Linked DNA regions of Xenopus tropicalis. The protein of the gene in region 3 purifies or fractionates together with the protein of the main gene of each other region. This does not show direct contact. Links are inferred from orthologs where the notes say so. Each region holds a gene or a part of one and is shown on either strand. Other genes may lie near its edges.

The links. The genes of interacting proteins can lie anywhere in the genome.
Region 1: the proteins of ogt (region 3) and dido1 purify together in Homo sapiens (affinity purification with mass spectrometry; 3 studies listed by BioGRID and IntAct, with this or other methods). This does not show direct contact. The link is inferred for Xenopus tropicalis from reciprocal best matches to the Homo sapiens genes OGT and DIDO1.
Region 2: the proteins of ogt (region 3) and setd1a purify together in Homo sapiens (affinity purification with mass spectrometry; 4 studies listed by BioGRID and IntAct, with this or other methods). This does not show direct contact. The link is inferred for Xenopus tropicalis from reciprocal best matches to the Homo sapiens genes OGT and SETD1A.

What each region holds. Positions count from the first base shown.
Region 1 is NC_030686.2:2,431,263-2,439,569, forward strand, and holds part of dido1 (death-inducer obliterator 1), read left to right. Parts: intron 1-1,444; coding exon 1,445-1,967; intron 1,968-2,549; coding exon 2,550-2,709; intron 2,710-2,902; coding exon 2,903-3,019; intron 3,020-3,566; coding exon 3,567-3,668; intron 3,669-3,764; coding exon 3,765-3,900; intron 3,901-3,980; coding exon 3,981-4,503; intron 4,504-5,284; coding exon 5,285-5,438; intron 5,439-5,881; coding exon 5,882-5,971; intron 5,972-6,138; coding exon 6,139-6,334; intron 6,335-7,697; coding exon 7,698-8,307. UniProt on the Homo sapiens protein: Putative transcription factor, weakly pro-apoptotic when overexpressed. Tumor suppressor. Required for early embryonic stem cell development.
Region 2 is NC_030685.2:5,878,809-5,887,115, forward strand, and holds part of setd1a (histone-lysine N-methyltransferase SETD1A), read right to left. Parts: intron 5,602-8,307; coding exon 5,449-5,601; intron 4,715-5,448; coding exon 4,616-4,714; intron 4,494-4,615; coding exon 4,223-4,493; intron 3,029-4,222; coding exon 2,922-3,028; intron 2,836-2,921; coding exon 2,657-2,835; intron 2,504-2,656; coding exon 1,693-2,503; intron 282-1,692; coding exon 207-281; intron 21-206; coding exon 1-20. UniProt on the Homo sapiens protein: Histone methyltransferase that catalyzes methyl group transfer from S-adenosyl-L-methionine to the epsilon-amino group of 'Lys-4' of histone H3 (H3K4) via a non-processive mechanism.
Region 3 is NC_030684.2:44,071,656-44,079,962, forward strand, and holds part of ogt (UDP-N-acetylglucosamine--peptide N-acetylglucosaminyltransferase 110 kDa subunit), read right to left. Parts: intron 6,963-8,307; exon of another isoform or gene 6,837-6,962; coding exon of another isoform or gene 6,825-6,836; intron 5,719-6,824; coding exon 5,602-5,718; intron 5,075-5,601; coding exon 4,995-5,074; intron 4,876-4,994; coding exon 4,680-4,875; intron 4,596-4,679; coding exon 4,455-4,595; intron 4,376-4,454; coding exon 4,275-4,375; intron 4,191-4,274; coding exon 4,037-4,190; intron 3,947-4,036; coding exon 3,845-3,946; intron 2,655-3,844; coding exon 2,475-2,654; intron 2,335-2,474; coding exon 2,176-2,334; intron 1,337-2,175; coding exon 1,247-1,336; intron 765-1,246; coding exon 639-764; intron 1-638. UniProt on the Homo sapiens protein: Catalyzes the transfer of a single N-acetylglucosamine from UDP-GlcNAc to a serine or threonine residue in cytoplasmic and nuclear proteins resulting in their modification with a beta-linked N-acetylglucosamine (O-GlcNAc).

The DNA.
Region 1 (8,307 bases), on a different chromosome or scaffold from region 3:
TCACCAAGCACCCACCCCAGTCAGTCAGGGCTTCGCTACGGGTCACCCATTCACTAAGCACCCACCCCAGTCAGTCAGGGCTTCGCTACGGGTCACCCATTCACTAAGCACCTACCCCAGTCAGTAAGTGCTTCACTACGGGTCACCCATTCACTAAGCACCCACCCCAGTCAGTCAGGGCTTCGCTATGGGTCACCCATTTACCAAGCACCCACCCCAGTCAGTCAGGGCTTCGCTATGGGTCACCCATTCACCAAGAACCCACCCCAGTCAGTCAGGGCTTCGCTACGGGTCACCCATTCACTAAGCACCCACCTCAAGCACCTACCCCAGTCAGTAAGTGCTTCACTACGGGTTACCCATTCACTAAGCACCCACCTCAAGCACCTACCCCAGTCAGTCAGGGCTTCGCTATGGGTCACCCATTCACTAAGCACCCACCCCAGTCAGTCAGGGCTTCACTATGTGTCACCCATTCACTAAGCACCCACTCCAGTCAAACAGGGCTTCGCTATGGGTCACCCATTCACCAAGAACCCACCCCAGTCAGTCAGGGCTTCGCTACGGGTCACCCATTCACTAAGCACCCACCTCAAGCACCTACCCCAGTCAGTAAGTGCTTCACTACGGGTTACCCATTCACTAAGCACCCACCTCAAGCACCTACCCCAGTCAGTCAGGGCTTCGCTATGGGTCACCCATTCACTAAGCACCCACCCCAGTCAGTCAGGGCTTCACTATGTGTCACCCATTCACTAAGCACCCACTCCAGTCAAACAGGGCTTCGCTATGGGTCACCCATTCACTAAGCACCCACTCCAGTCAAACAGGGCTTCGCTATGGGTCACCCATTCACTAAGCACCCACCCCAGTCAAACAGGGCTTCGCTATGGGCCACCCATTCACTAAGCACCCACCCCAGTCAAACAGGGCTTCGCTATGGGTCACCCATTCACTAAGCACCCACCTCAAGCACTCATTACATCTCCATCAAGCCGACTCCACCCACTAACGGCAATCGGTCAATGTAGAGCACAAGTGGCCCATAATCACTTGTAAAATAAAGATGTGTTGAAATATTTGATTACATATCTCTAGCAAATCCTGCTGGCAGAATTACCCAGTCTGTGTTGGGCAAAGGGGTCTGTAACCTGGGGGCAAATTCATCAGCAAAGCAGTGTTGCCTTTACAATAACTTGTAATGTCATTGATGGATCTATTCAGCTTCTCCGTTGCCCAATATCATTATTTTATTTTTTTTTCCTGCTCCACCCAAATGCCACCCTGGCCGTCACGGTGACTGATCAGCAACCAAACACACTGCAATAAAAACCTCCTTTCCTCCATTTTACGCCCTATTGTGTGTGCAGGTGGATTTGCTGAAAAGATGACACAGTTGAGTATAATGTGTAACCGGGTTTTCCCTTTTGTTCTTCTGTTGCAGCTGAAAAGGTAGAGGAAGTGGAAAAGAAGCCCGAAGTTCCTGCTTCTCCTCCGGCCAAAGCGTCCGTCCCTTGCCCTTACACCAGCATGGTGATGAAGCCAATCTCCTCGCTCCCAAGGATACCCAAGAAGGATTCCCACTCCACAACCCCCATCAAACCGCTGCCTAAACCTGCTGTTAGTTCCAAAAGCCCCATACAGAACAAAGGGGTCCGTCAGCCCACTAAGCCTGCCGACTCCAAGCCGTCTCCTGTTCCCAAAAAGCCTCCGGCTCCATCACTGCCTTCTGCACCGAGTCAGAAGAAAGCCATTCCCTCCAAGTTGCCTTTGGGTCAGAAGAAGTCAGCTGCCCCCTCCCCATCTACTAAAGTTGCAATGGGAAACCCACCCCCAAGACCCACAGCCAACACCTCACAGCCTACGTCCAGCACCCCACAGTCTGCCCAGAGTTCCTCACACCCTGTGCCCAACATGCAGATCCGGCAGAACATCCGGAGGTCTCTGAAACAGATCTTATGGAAGAGGTGTGTTTCATGGATGATTTTTAGTCATTTTCCATATTTGTTTTATTGGACAGTCAGTGTACGACCCTCCTAAAGGTCCCCTGTGCCCACAGTAAACAGAATTACACTCTGGTTATATTAGTTTAAGGCAATATACAAAGTAATGCACCCATACATGCATTTCGTGCAATTTCCAGACTGTCTGAGCTCAGAATTATCCCAATACCATGGGGATTGGCCGTTTAGTCGATGGGGCAGGTTAGAAAATGTCAGTGGGATAAGGAAAAAATCAGCGTATTATTGTATATCTGCCCTTAAGGGCCCTACAATGGGAGTCACTATCGTACGATTGGTGCCTGTAACTATTTCACATTCAGAACATCCTCCCATTGGTTATATTTAGGGCTTTATCCTACAATATCAGGCTCAACATGAGTAGATCGATCAACCAATATCCGAACGTTCCGAAACACCCATCAAAGATACAAGGAAATGTTAAATATGAATATAATTACCCATAAACGGCAGAATCCAACTAGTTATAATGTAACGAGACGTGTGATTGGCTGTTCCCTGTGAATAAGTGTCTGTTTGTGTTTCCAGAGTCATTGACAGCGATGACCTGGTGATGGTGGAGAACGAGGTTGCGAGGATCGCCACAAATATCGAAAGGGAAATGTTCAATCTGTATCGGGATACGGACAGCAGGTACAAGGCCAAGTACCGCAACATCATGTTTAACCTCAAGGACCCAAAGAATCAGGTTTGTGGCACTCTATTTACTGATGTGTGTGTGTGTGTATCTAGGGCGGCACCGTTGCCGTCTCCTCGCCGATGCTCATTGGCATTTAGTGATGCTGTTTAACCCTTGCCAGTTCCTCTCAGCACTGCAGCGACCCATCTGAGCTTTTGTCATTTCGTCATTTTCTAAATTGTCCAATGGTTTTTACTCCTAGGGTCTGTACCACCGAGTCCTCAAAGAAGAGATTCCCTTGGCGAAGCTTGTGCGGCTAAAACCCGAGGAACTCGCGTCTAGAAAGTTATCATCGTGGAAAGAGACTGGATCCAGATCAGTACGTTTTTTTTTCTTTTCTAAAGCACCTGATCTTTATATGGGCAAAGGTTCCGCAAACCCACAGTATGAGGGTGTCTTGCACAGACAGTAGTTGTGGGTTACCTAAAGCTGGCCATATACGTGAAGATCCGCTTGGTGAGGTCGTCAAGCGAGCGGATCTTCTCCCAATATCCCCACCAATGGGTGGGCGATATGGGGGAGAATGTAGGCTAATTATAATGGCGGCAATGGGGCAGTCTGTTCGGGGACCACATCAACGAGCCAATACGGTCCCAGATCCGACTAAATCTTTTAACCTGCCTGATCGATATCTGGCCAATTTCAGGCCAGATATTGGTCGGGCATGCCCCTCGTTCCTGCCCCTACACAGGCCAACTCAGTCCAAGGGACCGATATCGGCAGCTACAATCAGCCCATGTATGGCCCCCTTTACCCTACCTTGAAATAAACCTGTAATCTGCTATCCTAAGGCCAAGGCCACAGTTGTCATAGTGACGTGGTTTTTTAGTAATAATTCCTTTTTCTTTTCCTCTTTTGAAAAAAAGGGTTTGGTCCTCAAAAGCAAGGCTCGGATGGAGAATAAAATTCCTTCGATGAATCAAGCGGTTGACATGGAGGAGTCCCCGCCGATGTCCGATACAGACACGGTAAGTTATGGGTTATAAGTCCACTATACTATAGAAGTCTTTGGGGTTCCTCTGTAGGACGTTCCCTAACAGTGTTGCCTTGCGTGTGTTCCACAGGAGCAGCAGGAGCCGGCGCAGGCCCCGCCGGAGACTAATACTTCGGTTCTTCCGGACATATTCAGCAGCATGTTGAGCGACACTACGAGCCAGCATCGTGCCCATCTTTTCGACCTTAAGTGCAAGATCTGTACAGGTGAGCAGACTTGTACCAATGGGTAACTGGAGTGTATACGCAATAGACATTGTTTGTGACCCGTACTGATGTATTTACAGGCCAGATTCCTGCGGATGATGAGCCTCCCTATAAGCGACCGAAAACCACCACTGCAGCTGCCAAGAAGCCCGACCTGAATTCCAAGCCGGAGCCCAAAGAGGAGAGCAGCGTTATACCCCCTCCCCCAGAACCAGCTGAAAATACAGAGTCCAATCCACCCATGGAAATCTGTGATAATGCAGAGAATATCCCAGAGGCAGCCCCATTACCTGTGCCCTTACCCTCTGAATCCCCTACTCTCCCCGACCCAATATATTCCAGTCACGCCCCCGTGTACCCCTCTCCTGCTCCCGTCACCACTGTCACCGTATCGGGCAGAGACCCTAGAACAGCCATCAAGCGCCCTCTGACCGTCTCTTCCAACCCAGACATCGGTGCAAGGTCTTCACGCGAGAACGAAGAGGCGCCGACGGAACCACCCAAGCCTCTTCTTCCTCAAGTCTTCTCTATGCCCAAGTCTATTCTCTCCAAGCCACTTCCCTCGGAGAGCCGATACTTAGCGTCCGCATCGCCAAACATCAAGTGCGTAAGCTTAGCCTGCTCTCTTAGCCACTTTACTCCCAAGGGCCAACAATACTGTCCGTTATATACACGTCCTGTAGGCTTGCAATCAAATGGGTACCTCAGACACAATCCTTTTCCATATTCACAGGTTATACAGTAGATAGAAAAGTTTGGGGGGGGCTGGGGTGCTTTTTGCCACTGCTGTACCTCAAGCAATCTTATTATGGATTACAGCAATACATTTGGGATTTATAACCCTGACTGGGCCTGACCAGGGCCGGAACTAGGGGTAGGCAGGAGAGGCAGCTGCGTAGGGCGCAACAATTAGGGGGCACCAGACAGGAGCCTGTCCTGCCTACCCCTAGTCTGCTCTCTTTAGTAATTGCCCCCACCGCTTGTCCTTATGTGGTGGGGGCAATGAACCATCGAATCGCATCTCGAACTCCACCCCCCTCCCTGTGACTGCACATGCGCACGGGGGGGATCAGGAAGGTGCAGGGGCGAGGTGGCCGGCCGGGTTGCCTAGGGCCGCCCCTAGGTCTGAGCCATTCTGCTTGGGGGGTACTCGTACATGTAACATCCAGTAGCCAATTAGAACAGCCCTGAGAACCAGCACAAGTCCTAGCCAATCACAGTATCAGATACTATCTTAAGAAGAATAATGTGAAATGACAAAGTTGCCAAATGATCTAACGTGGACCGTTATTTTGTCAGCTGTGGGATATTTAGTAGATCCACAAATATTGGATTGAGTGGAATTTTCTTTTTTTCTTAAACTTCCATCGTTTACTTTTCGCAGCTTGACAGAAATGCGGCCACCCAAAGAAGGGGATACGTCTCTCTTCCTCTCTCGTCTGAACCCCATATGGAAAGGATTCATAAACATGCAGTCCGTGGCCAAGTTTGTCACTAAAGCCTACCCGGTGTCCGGCTCTGTGGAATATCTCAATGAGGTTTGTTCCCCTTATTAATAACGACCCCCCCCCCCATAAATATCTGGGCCAATTCATTGTGAACTCACTGGGTAGAAAGTTGACTATGAAGATTTGCATTCATCCAGGTCATGGTTTATCTAGTATAAATAAATCTAAAGCAACTTAACTGGTTAAGTAATCACTGAAGACGTTTCACTACTCATCCGAGCAGCTTCTTCAGTTCTACTGACTGGTATGGGAAGTCCTCAGCATATATACTCTTCCACTAATCCAATCACAATGGCACTAAGTGCCAAGAGTATATATGCTGAGGGCTCCCCATACCAGTCAGTTGAACTGAAGAAGCTGCTCGGATGAGTAGTGAAACGTCTTCAACGATTACTCAACAAGTCCAGATTTATTTGTGTAGAAAGATCTATTATTTTTTTTCAAGTGGATTAATGGTTAATTTTTTTCTGTAGGATTTACCAGACACGATCCACATAGGCGGAAGGATCTCTCCGAAGACCGTCTGGGATTACGTTGGGAAGCTGAAGTCCTCTCAGTCAAAGGTAAATGTCTGAAGCCCCCCTCCCTGTCTCTATACTGCCCAAGGCAAATACCCTCGGAGCAGTGATTGGTACCTGGCATCCGTGCTCAATCACCCTTTGTTGCCTAATGATCTGGAGCTTCTGATGCCAAATACAAGTGTGAGACTTCTGTCTGTGTGTTTCTATAGGAGTTGTCGCTGATCCGCTTCCATCCGGCCACAGAAGAGGAGGAGGTGGCCTACATATCCCTATACTCCTATTTCAGCAGCCGCTGCCGATTCGGAGTCGTAGCCAACAATAACCGTCACGTCAAGGACCTGTATCTGATTCCACTCAGTGCCAAGGACCCAATTCCCTCCAAACTGTTGCCCTTTGATGGACCAGGTGAGTTGCTCGGTACAAAAGAGAGAACCGTTAATCCGTGTTGCAACCCAGAATGCTCCCCCCTCCCTGCTTCCTACACACAAATAAAGCATTTTCTGAAAACTGGTGATTGTTTTCTTCGGATGAATTATACTCTTTATACATTCCAACGGGCGTCTGAGGGCTTTTAGACTTATGGGGGATGCTGCACAGCATGGAAAGGAATATCCCGGAAGCAGAAGGAAGATACGGAAGCCCAACTTCTACAGAAATCCCAGCATCTCCGTGGCCTACGGGAGAATGAGGCAGATTCCACATACAATGAAATGCATCTGGCACAGAATCATCCATTCGCTCCAGAAAACTCCATTCCCAGCTGATAAAATGGCGTTACATTGGGCTCATCGTTATAGGCCAGGATTATTCCACCTTCACCAGCCCCATAGGTCCCAGTAACGTTGAAGACACACAGAGCTACTAGTAGCAGTTACAGAAACAGACAATGCTGATCGATTATTGATAATTGTCTCTCCATGTGTTTTAGCAGAGGGAATTCTCACTATTGTCTATGGCAGGGGATTTACTGGGGTTTATAGCCATTACAAGTAGCTGCTACTATGTAGCTCTGTGTGTCATCCCCCTGTATACACTTTCACCCATAACCTAGTTAAGTTAATAACAACTGGCTGCACACATAAGGAGGCAACCCCCAAAGCCACACAGCGTTGTTGGCACTTCGACCACACAGAAGTAAAGCTCCCCTGATTGGGTAGGGGGGCAAGAGGGTCTGTTTTGCAGCCCATTATCCCAATTGCAGGAAGTTTACACTAGTTCTATCCAATGGTTTCCATGCAGAAGGCAGAGATTTCATGGGTGGGACAATAATGAACCATAGAAAGCCCCCCCTGGTTCCCAGCTGCACAGCCTTGGGGTATATAGTGGTGTCGGTACATTCCACACTGATACCTGTGGATTATCGTCCAGCAAATATATAACTGCTGCTCCATGTTTATACACTCGTACATTGGTCTCGGGGCAGGTTAGTCTATGCTGCTTGGTCCCAGGGTTTAGGAATATAGTGGGGCAAGAAGGGCTTCAGCCGTTGGGGTAAATGTTACTTTAGACACCCTATAGGTCATGAACCAGCACCTCCTACCTTTATTAGAGAAACCCCTTCAATGAATGTTCCTGTAATTTATTATTATTCAAGTATTTTTAGTAGCAGTCCAGGATCCAATCACATCTCAGTTTGGAAGCAAAGATTCAGCCGAACAGTAATATCTGTGATCTGTTTGCTCATGAAATGTACATCCCCCCCCCCCCCCCCCCGATGCCGACACTTTGTTGCATTCCCGAATCTTAAAATTTTCTCGTTTTCTTCTAGGGCTCGAAGCGACGCGTCCGAACCTCATTTTGGGCCTTGTCATTTGTCAGAGGAACAAGCGTCCAGTTACCAGCGAGACGGAAAAGTTGGAAGATAAACGAACGAAAAGTGGAGGCCAGGAGGATACGGAGGTGGGGAATGTCACTAAAGGGGCTTTGTCGTCTCAGGCAGAAAAGATGCCTCATAAATATCAACCCTATGCCGGCGAATCTGTCAAAAGTACGGCTCCTCCAGGTTCCCCACCTCCTCTCCCAGAAGCACTTGCAAAAGTAGTTGCTCCAGTTATCGCCCTCGGCAAAGCAGAAGGTGTCCTTCCTGTTCATAGCGCAGTCCCCCACTCGCCTACGGCCGAAAGTGCCTCCTCCGCTTCTAAAGGTGCCACCCCACTGGAGCATATTCTTAAGACTCTCTTTGGTAAATCAGACAATAAAAATGATAACCCCAGTGCTCCGAAAGTAGATCCTCCCAAGGACAAAGGGCTTGTTGGCCTTCCTCTGATAGACCCCATAGTACAGCAGTTTGGTCTGTTATCCAAAGACAAAGCCATAGAGGAGGAGGATGATAGGCCGTACGACCCTGAAGAAGAGTATGATCCAGAAAAGGCCTTTGG
Region 2 (8,307 bases), on a different chromosome or scaffold from region 3:
ATATCTTCTCCAGACGACAGCTGTGGGCAAAAGAATCACATTAAGAGATCGGCTAAAGCAAAGCTTCCGGCCCCACAGAGGGGCACAATCTCCTTCCAATCACATTAGCTGCCTCCCCTTCTCCCATCAAACCCCACCGACACAAACACATTGCACTCGAAATGGAGAAGAACGGCATTAGAAGTGCATTCATTGGCGGAACTGACCAGCTGCGGAGGGAGGGAGTTACGTGACCAACTGCTGGGGTCTCTTAGGAAGGGAGGTTCCTGCATCAGCATTCCCTGTGAAAACAATTATGTCGGCCGGCTAAGTACACGGAGCGCAACACAAATGATCCATGATTTATATAGGTACGACAGTTAGAGACGCACACGGAATCCCCACACCAGGAATGCACCAAATCAACTTTTGGGGGGGGGGGGATTCAGCCAAGAACTGAAACCTCCACACACAAAAATGGCAACTTCTACTTTGTATAATAAAGGAAAATAATCCTAAATGTAAAATGCTCAACTGTCAAGGCTACTGAAAGCCGTATCTGCCTGCCCTTTGCCCATCTCTGCACTGCTGGTTCTGACCACTGAAATAAGACATAGATGTAGTCAGACTCCAGCTCCCATAATGCATTGCATGTCCGGTTATTAACAGACCTGTAAAAGAGGAGAATCACCGCACAGGCAAGGCATTGTGGGAAATAGAGAGAAGCAAAAGGGACAGAGGCGTTGCTTTCAGTAGCAATTACATTTACAAATAATTATTAATGTCCATTGGAAAACGACTTCAAACTGAATTTGCTTACAGCGTGCAACAGGTTTATATCCCCTTTAAAACACTGTGTAATAATATTTGGCCAAAAAAAAAAAAAAGTCATATGACTTGCAACATGGTTTGGTCAAAGCCCAATAAATATTCTAGCAAAAAAAAAAAAAATAATGCTTATATTAGGTGCAGTTCTGAAGCCAGGAAGCATTACCTGACCCCCGTATATAATAAAAGGCACTAAGTTTGCCCAGGAGCAGTAACCCATAGCAACCACTCAGCAGGTAGCAATTACTGGTCACCTGTTTAAAAGCAAACATCTAATTGTTTGCTATGGGTAACTGCTCCTGGGCAAACTTAGTGCCTTTTATTTCATACTGGGGTTAGTTTTACTAATACAGGAAGCATCTCCTGGTGCTTCTCTGCTCAGTTGTTGTCAATGAAGCTTCTGTTAATGTGCCGTCCCCCTGTCTGGAAAGCACTGCAGTGGGGGTAGCTTTCAGCAGTTATACAGGTGGGTATGTTCCCTTTGATTCAATGAATAGTTTATAGCACATTCATAGCTCTATGAAGCCTCTCTCTAAATGAGAAAGATCTCTGGGAATACTAACTGTATTTATTATCTACTCTATAGTTACAATAAGTAGCCAACTGCCCACCTGGAGTCACCTGTGTGCGTCTAACCGCTAACCGCTAACTTGCCCACACACCCTTGCCCCCCAACCTTCATCCCTTCAAAGCAGTGGTTCCCAGACAGCGAAACTGCCCCACCGCCCAGGAACTAAAACGTTTGCTCTAAGAGCCATAGAGAGTTTTACCTCAGCAATGGTTTTATACCTGGTTATGAACCTGGGGGATCACAGTCAAACTCAAGGCCAAAACCACTGCTTTAAAGGGATTTGAAGACAAAACCGTGTAAATGTAAATTCTCACCCGGTCCTGGCCATTTGCTGTCCTGCCAATCTCTGCCATTCTCAGGATAGCCTCTGCCGATACATCCTCAAAGCTTGCGGGTAAGGGAGGGGTGTACGGACCATGAACAGGAGGAACCTCTTCCACTACTACTGGCTCTTGAGTAGGTGCTTCTGTTGTTGCCTCCTCTTCCTCCTCAGTGTCTGAGGGCAGGAAGGAGAACTTTGAGCGCTGTTCCTTCAGCAGAGCCTCAATGCGAGAGTCCAGGCTACTGCTGTGTTGTGTGAATGGCAGACTCTCCGACACACCATCAAGGAGTGGGGAGCAGGAACGAGCTGGGGAAGGAGGAGGAGAACAGACCGGTGGCAGAGGAGGTAGAGGAGGAGGCGGTGGCTCCCATCCCTCAGTAGGAGGAGGTGGAGGCACCAGAATAGTCGTTGAAGGTGCAGGGATGGAAGGAGGAAGAGGAGGAGGGTGGGCTATTCGGTAATCACGATCCGTGTGAATGTCATCAGGGGGTGGGGGAGGAGGTGGCGGCGGTGGCAGAGGTGGCGTCCCAGGGAAGCGAATCAGAGGGGGTTCTTCTGGGGGTGGGGGTGGTTTGCGGTGGCGAGAGCGATAAGATGACTGCGGGGAGGACCGGTTTTGGTGCCTGTGAAAGCGTTTCTGGCTGCTCTCGTGCTGGGAGGAGGAGGAGGATGTAGAGGAAGACGGGGCTGGGGAATAGTGGTGCCCAGAACGACGGGAATAGGAGTCCCCAGAACTGTTCTCCTGACGCCTGGATTTATATCCCGAAGTGTCCTGAGAAGAGGAATGACTGGGAGTCCCCTGCCTGCAAAACAAAGAGAAACATTAAGGACTGTTGGTTGGACAAGTTCTGCTTCATCAAAATGATACTCTAATAGAGACTTAATGGGCATCACTGGGCTGGAGGCCAGTAGAAGTGGGATTTGGGGGTCAATGGTTTTTGCATCTGGCCCCCTACCTGCTGGAATAGGCAGAGTCCTGAGAGAAGGGGGTGCCACTTCGCGGAGTGTAGGGGGTGCCTTGGGAGGAGGAGGGGGTATACTGGCTGTAGGAAGAGCCGAGATCCTGAGAGGAAGGGGTTCCGTTATTTGGGAGGTAGGAGGAGGAGTCGCTGGAAAGCCTGCGCCTGGAGTCCACCTGGAGACAGACAACAACACATTTAATAAAGTGATGGCGCCGACACAACCCAGAACTTGTACCTGGAACGTGTGAAAATCACCCACCATGTCTGGCTGCAGCCTCTCCTGTGCCCATCTCCCACTCGTTGGCACTGTCTGGGGGTTGTACGAGCCATTCACGATCAGATCGTAATATTTCTGTCTTTGCTGACCTGAAAAACAATAACAAAAAAATCTAAATGCCTGCAATGAGAATCCTTCAACGACTTGATCCCCCCCCCCCATCTATATGCTCCCTCTCTCCTTCACTAATGGTTGCTCACAGTATTCCATGTACTGATCCCCCCATCTATATCCTCCCTCTCTCCTTCACTAATGGTTGCTCACAGTATTCCATGTACTGATCCCCCCATCTATATCCTCCCTCTCTCCTTCACTAATGGTTGCTCCCAGTATTCCATGTATTGACCCCCACCTCCCCATTTATATCCTCCCTCTCTCCTTCACTAATGGTTGCTCCCAGTATTCCATATATTGACCCCCGCCCCCCCATTTATATCCTCCCTCTCTCCTTCACTAATGGTTGCTCCCAGTATTCCATATATTGACCCCCGCCCCCCCATTTATATCCTCCCTCTCTCCTTCACTAATGGTTGCTCCCAGTATTCCATGTACTGATCCCCCCATCTATATCCTCCCTCTCTCCTTCACTAATGGTTGCTCCCAGTATTCCATGTATTGACTCCCGCCCCCCCATTTATATCCTCCCTCTCTCCTTCACTAATGGTTGCTCCCAGTATTCCATGTATTGACCCCCGCCCCCCCCCCATTTATATCCTCCCTCTCTCCTTCACTAATGGTTGCTCCCAGTATTCCATGTACTGATCCCCCCCCCCCATCTATATCCTCCCTCTCTCCTTCACTAATGGTTGCACCCAGTATTCCATGTACTGATCCCCCCCATCTATATCCTCCCTCTCTCCTACACTAATGGTTGCTCCCAGTATTCCATGTTTTATAGCTTCATGCTCCTAACTTGCCACCGTTACCTGCACCCCAATCTAATAGCACAGAGAGCTTTAAAAGGAGCAATATAATATAATATTATATATATATATATATATATATATATATATATATATATATATATATATATATATATAAAAATCCTAATCCACCGAGTGAGCTGTTTGGGCCTAGCCCAACCGCTGGATTCAGCCCCAGCCCATTATTGCTGCTCTGCCAAACATTATGCACGCAGCCTGTCAAATCCCGTTAGACTGCCAGATGGCAAATTGCCATTTTTAAATACTCTGACATCTTAATTAAGACCAAAAACATTTGGCTAAAAACTTGTCCCAATACTACTGGCCACATAGCTCTGACCGAGTCCGTTGCCCCCTCACCTCTGAGGTCCAGCTCGGCGTGGATGATGTTGCCCATCACAGACGTATTGTGGAGGTGAGTGACTGTGTCCCTGGCCGCTTTGGAGCTGGAGAAGAGGACCTTGGCCAGCCCCAGGTGTTTCCTAGTTTTGGGGTGCAGCAGTATCTCCACTTCCTCCACATCCCCAAACTTGCGGCACATGTCGGCCAGGAAAGGCTCCCGCACGTTGTCATTGAGATGCGCAAAAGTGATTTCTTTCTGGGGAAGCTGTCCCACGTAGAACTCATCAAACTAACAAACGGGGGGGGGGTTACAGAGTGAAATCTCGCTCCCAATGAGAGGAGGTACAGAGCCCAGAAATACAAAGCACATCCCACAGAAATACACGCTCTGCGCAGATATTACCCGCATACCTTAAATTTAGGAACAGGGAGGGAAATCTCTCGTGGTTTGCTCCACATGCGATGCTGTCGGGGGTCCCGCACGTCCCCCAGTGGGAGGAATGCTCCATCCTAAGGGCAAAGCAATAACATCACTCAGCGACTGAGCCATTAAACGATACCCCTGGCTGAGAAGTAACCTACCAAACCTTAGCCATGGATACAGTTTGGAATTTAAACTGCTGTCTGGTTGCCAGGCTCACTGCCCTTAACAACCAAGAAGTAGCTTAAACAGCACACAGTAAGATGAATCAGAAAGGGATAGGTTAACTTTTAGTATGTTGTAGAATGGCCTAGTCTTAGAAGCTATTCAATTTTTATTTTTTATAGTTTTTGAATTATTTGCCTTCATCTTCTGACTCTTTTCAGCTTTCAAATGGGGGGTCATTGACCCCAGTGCCAAAAAACTGTTGCCCTGCGAGGCTACGATTTTATTGTTATGGTTCCTTTTTATGACTTCTTTCTATTTATGCCCTCTTCTATTCATAACCCCGTGTCTCTTTCAAACCACTGTGTAGTTGCTAGGTTAAATTGGACCCTAGCAACTAGATAGCCGCTGAAATTTCAGACTGGGCAGCTGCTGACCAAAAAGCTAAATAAATTTATAAAATGAGAATAATAAAAAATGAAGACCAAATGCAAGTTGCCTCAGAACAGCACTCTCTACATTATACTAAACGTTAATTTAAAGGTGAACTACCCCTTTATAAAGAAAATAATAAAACAATAATCACAGACCGCAAACTGCGGGAAGCCACTCATAATAATGCTCCCCACCCCCCCGACACAGGCTGTAAAGGCCTTACGGATATGTTGAAGTGGATTCCATCATAGCGATAGACTTTCTGCGTTGTTCTGCGACTGTGCAATGCGGGATCCAACAGCAACTTGTAGCTCCTCCACTGGAAGCCCGCCCCTCTGTGACTTTCGCCCTCGGGCTCCATCTGGGGACATCTGACCTGTAAGGGGACAGTACAACAGTTTATGGAACATACCGTGCTGCATTTCAACCCTGCGCTTATCTGGTTTAGTCTTTTCCACTACTTCCCATTAAATGTTTTCTCGTTGTGTGGCTGACTTGGCCTTTAAAATGATCCTGACTGCCTTAAACTGCTACACGCTCCTTGTTAGAAATCGGACAGTCACTGTCTCATTTTGTTTTTAGGCCGCGGGCCTGTCGTTGGTGCCCAGACATTACTATAACATGGCGCCACTCGCTCCTCCTATAAAAGTAAGTCCTTATATCATCCAGCGAGTTTCAATCCAGCGGCTGCTGTCGGTTATTCGGAACCAAACTGCTACAATTTACAGTACAATCTCCCGCTCTCCAGTCAGATTGTGGGTTTCTGTTTGGTGTCACGTGCAGCCATCTTGGTTTCTTGCACCCGTCTGTTTGCTCACTCCCATTGTTTGCCTTTAGAACGCTCTCTCCACCACGTGCTCCTCTGTCTGTCACACACCTCCGTCTTTGCACTGCAAGCGCTCCTTTCCCATGGTGTCTGTCTCTTCAGTGTTGGTCTGTGCGGTCTGCAAGCTTCAATATTAAATCTCTTCCATTTCTTGCACTCTCATTGCCTGTCTGCCAACCTTGTCCATCAGTCTCTTGATTTACAATTTTATCCCCTCCTCTGAAATGTATTTACTCCATGCAATCTCCTAGCAAATATATTCTATGTCATCCTGTCTGTCAGAAAGATTCCCTAGTAAACAACCCTTAATGTCTGTCTCCTGCGTGTCACTCTATAGCCAAACACTATAACTAAACACCCCACTGCTGCCCCTGTAAAGGCTTTGATATGTGGCTGTGTCGGTCTCTCCCAGCTGCCCCTCTGTCTCACTCTCTGTGGTTCTCTCGCTGCCTGTAGCACTGGGCCAAAATGGCTTCTCTTAAATTTCACACTGGGAATCTCTAAGCATACTTTTGGCCAGTCTCTTGCCCTGCCTGTCTCCCCAATGCCCCCCCCCCCCCCCCCCACTCTTCTCTGTCTTCTAGTTACACTCAGCCCCTTCCTTCAGCACAGTATCCCAGGGAACAGTGGGCCCCTGACAAGCCTGGGGCCCCCTTGGGGGCATTAGATCATTAAGGAAAGTCCACCCTGCACCAGCCAGCTTTGGATGAGCAGCAATTCGTTGGCTGTTGGGAATAGTAGTGAAGCAACAGCCGGGGGGCTGCAGTAGGGAAGTAACAGCCGGGGGGCTGCAGTAGGGAAGTAACAGCCGGGGGGCTGCAGTAGGGAAGTAACAGCCGGGGGGCTGCAGTAGGGAAGCAGAAGCCGGGGGGCTGCAGTAGGGAAGCAGAAGCCGGGGGGCTGCAGTAGGGAAGCAGAAGCCGGGGGGCTGCAGTAGGGAAGCAGAAGCCGGGGGGCTGCAGTAGGGAAGCAGAAGCCGGGGGCTGCAGTAGGGAAGCAGAAGCCGGGGGGCTGCAGTAGGGAAGCAACAGCCGGGGGGCTGCAGTAGGGAAGCAGAAGCCGGGGGGCTGCAGTAGGGAAGCAGAAGCCGGGGGGCTGCAGTAGGGAAGCAGAAGCCGGGGGGCTGCAGTAGGGAAGCAGAAGCCGGGGGGCTGCAGTAGGGAAGCAGAAGCCGGGGGGCTGCAGTAGGGAAAGCAGAAGCCGGGGGGGCTGCAGTAGGGAAGCAACAGCCGGGGGGCTGCAGTAGGGAAGCAACAGCCGGGGGGCTGCAGTAGGGAAGCAACAGCCGGGGGGCTGCAGTAGGGAAGTAACAGCCGGGGGGCTGCAGTAGGGAAGTAACAGCCGGGGGGCTGCAGTAGGGAAGCAGAAGCCGGGGGCTGCAGTAGGGAAGCAGAAGCCGGGGGGCTGCAGTAGGGAAGCAGAAGCCGGGGGGCTGCAGTAGGGAAGCAACAGCCGGGGGCTGCAGTAGGGAAGCAACAGCCGGGGGGCTGCAGTAGGGAAGCAACAGCCGGGGGGCTGCAGTAGGGAAGCAACAGCCGGGGGGCTGCAGTAGGGAAGCAACAGCCGGGGGGCTGCAGTAGGGAAGCAACAGCCGGGGGGCTGCAGTAGGGAAGCAACAGCCGGGGGGCTGCAGTAGGGAAGCAACAGCCGGGGGGCTGCAGTAGGGAAGTAACAGCCGGGGGGCTGCAGTAGGGAAGTAACAGCCGGGGGGCTGCAGTAGGGAAGTAACAGCCGGGGGGCTGCAGTAGGGAAGCAGAAGCCGGGGGGCTGCAGTAGGGAAGCAGAAGCCGGGGGGCTGCAGTAGGGAAGCAGAAGCCGGGGGGCTGCAGTAGGGAAGCAGAAGCCGGGGGGCTGCAGTAGGGAAGCAGAAGCCGGGGGGCTGCAGTAGGGAAGCAGAAGCCGGGGGGCTGCAGTAGGGAAGCAGAAGCCGGGGGCTGCAGTAGGGAAGCAGAAGCCGGGGGGCTGCAGTAGGGAAGCAGAAGCCGGGGGGCTGCAGTAGGGAAGCAGAAGCCGGGGGGCTGCAGTAGGGAAGCAGAAGCCGGGGGGCTGCAGTAGGGAAGTAACAGCCGGGGGGCTGCAGTAGGGAAGCAACAGCCGGGGGGCTGCAGTAGGGAAGCAGAAGCCGGGGGGCTGCAGTAGGGAAGTAACAGCCGGGGGGCTGCAGTAGGGAAGCAGAAGCCGGGGGGCTGCAGTAGGGAAGTAAAAGCCGGGGGGCTGCAGTAGGGAAGTAACAGCCGGGGGCTGCAGTAGGGAAGC
Region 3 (8,307 bases):
AACACTAAATTGGTCAACAACTTGTTAGAATTAGGGGACACACCAATGGGGGTAAAAACTCTCAAAGGCTGGTCACAGCATGTTGTAGCATTATTTTGTCCCACATTTACAGGTCTTCCCATATTCATACATTTCCATTTACTTTAATACAACACTAAACCTTTAGATAATGTACTCTGGCTGGTGCCATCCTAATTTCTAGCATTAGTTTTCAAATAGGCACACACACACACACACACACACACACACGCGCACAAACACCAACTCCACATCTGTAAGAAGGGCCATGAAGATGCTAAGGGACCAAATCTTTCACTAAAAAGCAGTAAATTTTTGGTGTTCATTACCAAAAGCATAAACAATTATTTATTGGTAATATAAACATCAAAATATAAACGCCAGGGGAGGCATGGCTTTATAATGAAAAAAAATTTCAAATCATGCATATTAAAGGAAAAGATAAGCCAATAATAAAAAAAAAAAGCGCCTGCATTTCTTAGTGTATTGGTCGATATACTCCAATTTTTTTTTTATAAAAAAAATCTTAAATATGAGGAAATATGGACCTTTAGTGAATCTGGCTTCTCTTCGTGTTCTATCAGTTTGTTGAGGAAATGCTGAAACAGAATACCAAATACCTGAATTGGAGCTGCTTTAAGGGCAAATAATTCATTGCGTGCTCCTTTAGTGTAACCATTCATATTAATCAGTATGTGGACTCCATCCTGGTGAATACGATCGGCTGCTTTGCCATTACAGGGAATCTAGAGAAAAGCAACAAGAGAAATAGATCAGGAATTCCAGAAAATGGTAACCACAAAATTAAAATTTCTGGCATATAGCTTCATGTTTTATAAGCATAAATGTACAGTTATCACAAAACTGCTGGATCAGTGTGCAATTTGGCCAAACGTTGATGGTCAACTGTCACAAATCAAGTTACAGAAATGAAAACTGAAAAGCCCAACTTGAAGGTCCAACACCTTTGGCTAGGGCTCCTCCTTGAAGGACCAACTTTTGGTCAGGACCCCTATTAGTTCATGAAATGAGTATATATAGGAAGTATTGGTGTATCAGTCACTGTTTCAAGAGTATCAGCAAATGTATGCCTATTCAACCTTAAAATTAGGCTTGAAGGTGGATTTAAGAGACTAATCACCATTTTTCTTAATTCTCACCTTAACTGACCTCAAGGCTGAGCCCCCTCTGCCACTGCTTTTTTACAGATATAAAAAAAGGAAAATACCTGGGACAGATCAACAAAGTGGTTTGCTTCTGCCATCACTTTTACACGAAAGTTTGTGCCATCATCAGGGCTGAGTGCGTAGCAAAAAACCTATAAAAAAAACAAAAAACTTAAAAAGGTGATATTGCAGCACTATTTTAGTAAGTTTAATGGGCGTATCATACTATACTTCAAGGATCTACAGTTTTTAAGGGTTATATTTTGTTTATCCACAGATACTATGAAATTCAGATCCTATGAGATGTCAATAAGGGCATGTTCATATTCAGGTAATTAAGAATACAAGTAGTCCTGACTTTTTGGCATTTTTTTTTTTTAATACTGTGGTGATAGCACCATTACTTATTATGAGCACAACCATAACATCTGCATCACCAACCTCTATAATGACACACATTCAAAAACTGAGAAAACTAAGAAACCCAGAAAACAAAAAATTAAAAATATAAAACTGTCAGAAGCAAATCTATTTGTAAAACACCCAATGTAAGCCTATTTATGTTAGTACATCCACCTTAGTGTGCATTGATTCATATGTGCATAGCTTAAAGCAGAAACGTTACTCTATTCAATAAAACAGCTTCTAGCTCTGCTTCTGAAACAAATTCAGCACATCTTAAGATATTATTTTATGTACAAGGTATACAGAAATTTATCCTAAACAAGTTTTTAGATTTAAAAAGTCTGTGCTGGGGTACATCACAGCACCAACTAAGTGTCCCAGAGCAGGAATTTAAGTAGTAAGGCCCATCTAACCTTTAAATGTTGGGCTGGAAAAAAACTACATAAAAAAGGACCTAGAGGTAGATCTGTGCTATATAAAGCAGAAATTTATTTAAAAGCATTAAACTGCACTGAGCCATACTCCCATCTCCATACAATGACAGGTAGAACCATAAAAAAAAAACAAAAAAAAAAAAACACCTTACCTCAAATTTATCTGGATTATGCATGCCAGGTATTGACTGCATGAGGTGAGAAGTTGGATGATTTCCAAAATCTGAGCTCACATATCCCACCCGTAGTCTCCCATCACTAGCCTTTAAATCCTTTGGGTGTTCATATGGTGGTTTGTGAAGGACATTTATCTGCAATATAAATAGTACAAATTGTAACAAGTAATTTGTGCTATTCTGAAACCGCTCAAAAGAACCCAATTCATGATAATGGAACTCCATAAATATGCACAATGATAAAATATCTTTCACATCTTAAAATGCAATCTTACCTTATCTAAACACAGGTTCCCATGCCTTTCAGCAATTGCTTTCCTAAAACCATGAGACAGTGGGTAGAGCATGCTGTGGTGGGGATGGACAGAAGGAAGCCTGTTCTTTTCTAGCTGGTCGGCAACAATACTGACCAGCTTTTTCATACGCTCATCATAATCTGTCCAGTCGCAAACAATCTATAGAAACAAGAGTCCATATTTATAACTAGAAGAGAAAAGCAGCAATTGCATGCAACAGTTAGACAGGCTTGTGATATACTGTTGTAGCTCTAAAATACCAGTGAAGAAGTTAAAGGAACAGTAACACCAAAAAATTAAAGTGTATAAAAATAATTAATATACTATGTACTATTGCCCTGCACTGGTAAAAGTTGTGTGTTTGCTTCATAAACACTACTACAGTTTATATAAATACCCTGTTGTGTAGCCATGGGGGCAGCCATTTAAATTGAAAAAAGGAGAAAAGGCACAGGTTACTAAGCAGATAACAGATAAGTAGCAGATTCCCATTGTATTCTACACAGTTATCTGTTATCTTCTTATGTAACCTGTGCCTTTTCTCCTTTTTTCAATTTAAATGGCTGCCCCCATGGCTACACAGCAGCTATTTCTATTAACTACAGTAGTCTTTCTGAAGCAAACACACAACTTTTACCAGTGCAGGGCAACAGTACATTATATTTTAATTATTTTAAAACATTTTTATTTTTTAGTGTTACTGTTCCTTTAACAAATAAAAGGCAAACAGTATTAATGCAGGACTTTCAAGGTAATGTTGCTGATTATAAGTACGTTCAAGGGCACTGCAGTCTTTTGTGGTGTTGTCCCACTGCAAAAAAATGTGGGAGACAAACCATCATCACCAACAAATGGGGTGGGATTTCTTCTGGAAAAATTAGGTCATGGAAACAAAAACCATAGTCACCCACATTCTTGTAAAAGATGGAAACAGTATCCAAGATAGTAAAGAAAAAAAATGGGAAAAAGTTGATTGTCTGGCAAGGAATGAAGCCCAGTAGCAGAAGTTACTTTACTTTTTTTTTTTTTTTTTGCACAGAAACAGCAAAAAAAAAAATAGGTCAGAAATTTGGTCAACGTGCCACAATAAAAAACAAAGAGACCCAAGAAGTCAAACCTTTTAATTATAAATTTCAATATAAATTTTGCACTTGAGAGGAAGAGAAAACCCATCTCTTATTCACTTGCTAAAACCCAGTTTAAAAAGGGTATGAAGGACATGCTAACTGCACATCCAACGTTAAAAAATAAACTATTTGGCAAGTTTATGCCTACACCTTTCCTTCACTTCAATTACTGAGCTCTTACAAAACATCATAATCCAGAATACCATTAATACACACTCTTACCTGAAGGCAGTGAGCAAGGTTGCAGTAGGCATCAGGAAAATCCGGCTTCAGTTTCAGTGCTGTCCTGTATGATGCAATTGCCTCTGGAATATTTCCAGAATCCTGAAATTGTTAAAAATAAATTATCGTTTCTGTTTTTTTAATTTTTGTCAAATCCCCCCAAAGGCTAATCCACATTAGAAAGTAAATTACTTTGTGAATGGAGGCCAGATTACTGTGAGCGTCAGCAAAAGCTGGATTTATCTGAATTGCCCTAGTATAACACTGCAATGCACCCTGGACATCTTGCATCTCCTTTAAAGTGTTTCCCATATTAGAATAAGCATCAGCAAAGGTTGGACTTATTCTAGAAAACAGAAACAAAAATGTAAATCGCACCACTAACCAATATGTAATAGGAAATGAAAACATGTACCTATTTTAAATGTACCTAATAGCTTCCTTATAATGCATCAGAGCCTCCTGAAGTTTTCCTTGTTGTTGCAATACACTAGCTAGATTTGAGTGAGCAGCTGCAAATTCAGGGAAAACCTGCAGACAGAAAAATAATTTAGGGACAAATCCATCATGGTTAAAATGTTCCTAGTGCAACAATCAATAGTATATTTACCTCAAGAGCTTTTCTATACAGCCGCACTGCCTCCTCTATGTTTCCTTGTTCTCTCTTTATATTTGCTAAGTTATTGAGAGAATCTGCATGTGTAGGACAGAGTCGAAGAGCTGTATTGTAGCATTCCTCTGCATCGACCACCTTAAGAAAAAACAAAATAAAAATCAGTGTTGTAGCTTCAACTTGAACACACAGAAGAAACACATTAAAAAAAAATGTACTTACACTGCCTTTTTCTTTGAGAGCATTGGCAAGATTACAATAGGCATCAGGGAAATGTGGCTGCAGCTCAATGGCCCGACGGTAGGTGTCAATTGCAAGATCAATAAGTCCCTGCTCATAATACACACAAGCCAAATTTCCATGGACCACAGCATGATTTGGACTTAAGCTTAGGGCTCGCAGGTATGCTGCTACTGCTCTGTGGGGGGACAAATAAACCATTCAATCAATGTAGAACGGATGTCTTAAAAATTAAAAAATTAGCCTGTAATCAGATTCTACAGCAACAAGCAAGTTTAACTTCACAAGTCTTCTTACCGGTCAAATATACGAGCCTCTTTCAGCACATTTCCCAAATTAATATAAGCATCCAGGAAATTGGGATCAAGAGTTACAGCCTAAAACAAATTTCAATAAAGTACAATAAAAAAAAAAATTTAGTAAGGAATGCAACAAAAAGTAGGATACATCTATTACAAACTTATAAAATGTTACATGTTACACACTTTTGGATGAATAATAATAGTCCTAAAATTCCATTATGGTAAATAAAAGCTGAAAAAACCTAGTAGCAAAGCAATTACTTTTAAATTACCTTACATAGCAAATTCTAGGTACATTATTTGACTTAACACAGGCAATGTAAGGTAACAGTAAAGCTGGAAAAATATGTTGTTTGAAGATTTTTACTACAGGCATATCTAAACTTTAGGACTCAACTCTATGGCCCTGTACATAAGCAACTACACTATTATGGCTTGTCTGGAAATTGCACCCTTTAGTTATACATTAGGTAAATATATGCATTCCCAGTTCCTTTGCTGCAAGATTAGTAATAGTAAAGGGGGTCTCTCCCCCTAACAAAAGCATTACCAGACAAGGAAAAGCTAGTAAATAACTTGGCAAAGAATGAGTACAGAAATACCTTTTCAAAGTGGTGAATTGCAAGCCAGATCTCTCCTTGTGCATTAAATACACATCCAAGATTACTCCAAGCAACTGCAAAGTTTGGTTGTGTTTCAATTGCCTTGAGGTAACAAGCCTTTAAAGGATCAAAGCAAAGGAAGGTGGGACAGGAAAGGAAGGAGAGGGGTTCCAAAAAAAAAAAAGAGAGAAATGTCAGAATTCATTCTCAAAACAGGAAAAAGTGACCCTGCAGCATAGGCTCGCTAGCGCTTCAAATACTGCGCAAGCTATGAATCCTACGCCAGCGCAAACCCTTACCTAAATGCAAGCCTCCATTTTTTAGTTAAGCTGATTTGATGTGCACTGGATTGTAATATTTTAATTGTCTAGAGTTTAAAAAGAATAAAATCTCCTGATCACAAACCACCATTCTCCAAATGGTAAACAGAAGTTCCATACAGTATCAATTTCATTTGTTAATTATGCCTTAATAAAGAATGAAGAAGGTCTACTACTATGGGGGTATCCCATAAACAGCACTTTAATGTCTTTGCAGCTCTTTTTCTTCTATGTTGTTTTATCCATTGGAAAATAGGTATTGGTGCCATCACGAAAACCAAAAATGATAAGATTGCATACAGGTTAGGGTCCCTGTAATGCAGGCGCGAAGATTCGCAGGCGCGAAGATTCGCAGGCGGCCCAATGCTAGTCAGCAAAACTACGCAGTTGCTGCGCTTCGGCGAGTCGCTGGCAAATGTCAACAGCCAACCTGAAGCATTAACATGGGACAGAACTAAAGCCATTTAAACTAAACCATGAATGAGCTCCCCACAAATGAAATGCTTAACCCAGAGGCCTTAAACAAGAGTTAACCATCAAGTTGACTGTTCACACAATTTAATCCCCACGCACAGCGCAAATCGTAGCGCAGCCTTTGCGCTACTGCAGGCTCACAGCGCATGATGAGGAGCAGAACGCTTCAGTCCAAACAAAGAAGAAAAAAAAGGAAAAAAAATAATGAACATTTGGAAGAGTTAGAAGCTTACAACTAAACTAGCTCCGGTTTTTTTTTTCTTTTAAAACATATTTACTCAGTTTCCTTTAAAGAATTGTGGCTAATGGTATATAGTCTCGTCTTTTAAATGTTACTAAAAATATTTTAAGCGGTTTCTGAAGCCACAAGACAGAAGGATTCAGGCATGGAGCAAATGGTTTTTGTTGTGGCAGTTACAAACCCGTTACCATATTTCTCATGTGACTTTTCGGTGCGTTCCTTGCTGGAAGAGGAGGAGGTGCATGTCTGCCTAGATCCAGGCCTCGAGCTCCCTTCAGCGAGGCACCTTACGCATGGAATAGCAGTTTTCACCCACCTGAAACCTTCTAAATACAATATCAGTGGTAAAAACCAAAACAGGAGAGAAAATAAAACAATATAATTAGTAAAAGATCTCAACAAAGCAAGTGAAATGTTTTTGGATATGCTCTATGATTCAGACAAGGACATGTCAAGCTTGCTTTTTATTAATGTTTATCATGCAGGAAGTTTGGGCAGAAAAGTGCACGACTGGAAGAAAGGCTTTATGGTTCTAACAGCTATGTTAATTTTGCTCTTAAACAACCAGGAAACAGCTGGCTTGATATTGGAAATGCACTGATTACAGAGAAAGAATTCAGTTAACTTGTTCATGTATATTTAAATCCTTGCCAAAGAACAGTTTCTCAAGCTAGTTGCTTCCAGAACTCTGAAATAAAGAAATCAGCATTTCTATGCCAGCGCAGACTTCTCCTATGCAAGTGTCGCCGAAGCAGCAGTGAAGTGCAATATGTGTTAGTTGTCCAAATGGAGAGCTGAGAACCACAATAACAGGTAATTAAAAATCAGAGCCCCTTAAAAAATAAAAGGATGTGCTAACCTGAAATTGACCCTTTTGGTACCAATTTAAATAGTGAATTCTATAAAAAGGTAACCCTCCCCATGGGTCTCATTACACATGGACAGCTACTCTGCATTCGCACTCCAAGCAATTGCAGGCGCGTGGGGTGTGGAGTAACAGGGGGATTTCACATGTCCTCTAATTTCTCCCAACCCCTTTTCCTAGCAGCGCAGACGCACAAGGTGGCTTGTAACATGACTGCTGTATTTCACATTAAGTTTACAAACAAGTGCAAACCTGTTAAAACATCAAAAAATAGATTACAATTTACCAAGTCTGTAACTGTCAACTGCTAGAAGCCACCTTTAAATTCTTAGTTTCTTTCTATCAGTCCATTTTCTTAATACAAACCAGCCTCTGTCCTTTTGCTGTGAATAGGAGTGCAAACTAAGTTTTTGGGTCAGATGTGCATTTACTTTAAAACAGCCTTTCTTCCATAAAAAAAGCAACATTCACTGGGGGGAAGAGGGGGCTAGAGGAGAAAAATGGATGGGCCTTTTGTTTTGGCTTTGCAGTCCCCCTTATGTTCATCAGATGATGAGCTGGAGAGCAGGGGACCAATTCCAGATGAATTTGGTCAATTTAGTAAACCAAGGATAGGACTGATGCCTTTAAAAATAGTAAAAGTTTAAGAAACCAGATGAACAACTCCTCAAACCTGAGGTGTTGTGTAACCAAACGATACTCCTCGGATCATGCGTTTCATGTACAGCTCCATTTGATTAACATGTTACTGTATACACTAGTTATAAAGCTTTAAGGCAAAGCAAAGGTTTTGCAACACTGGAATT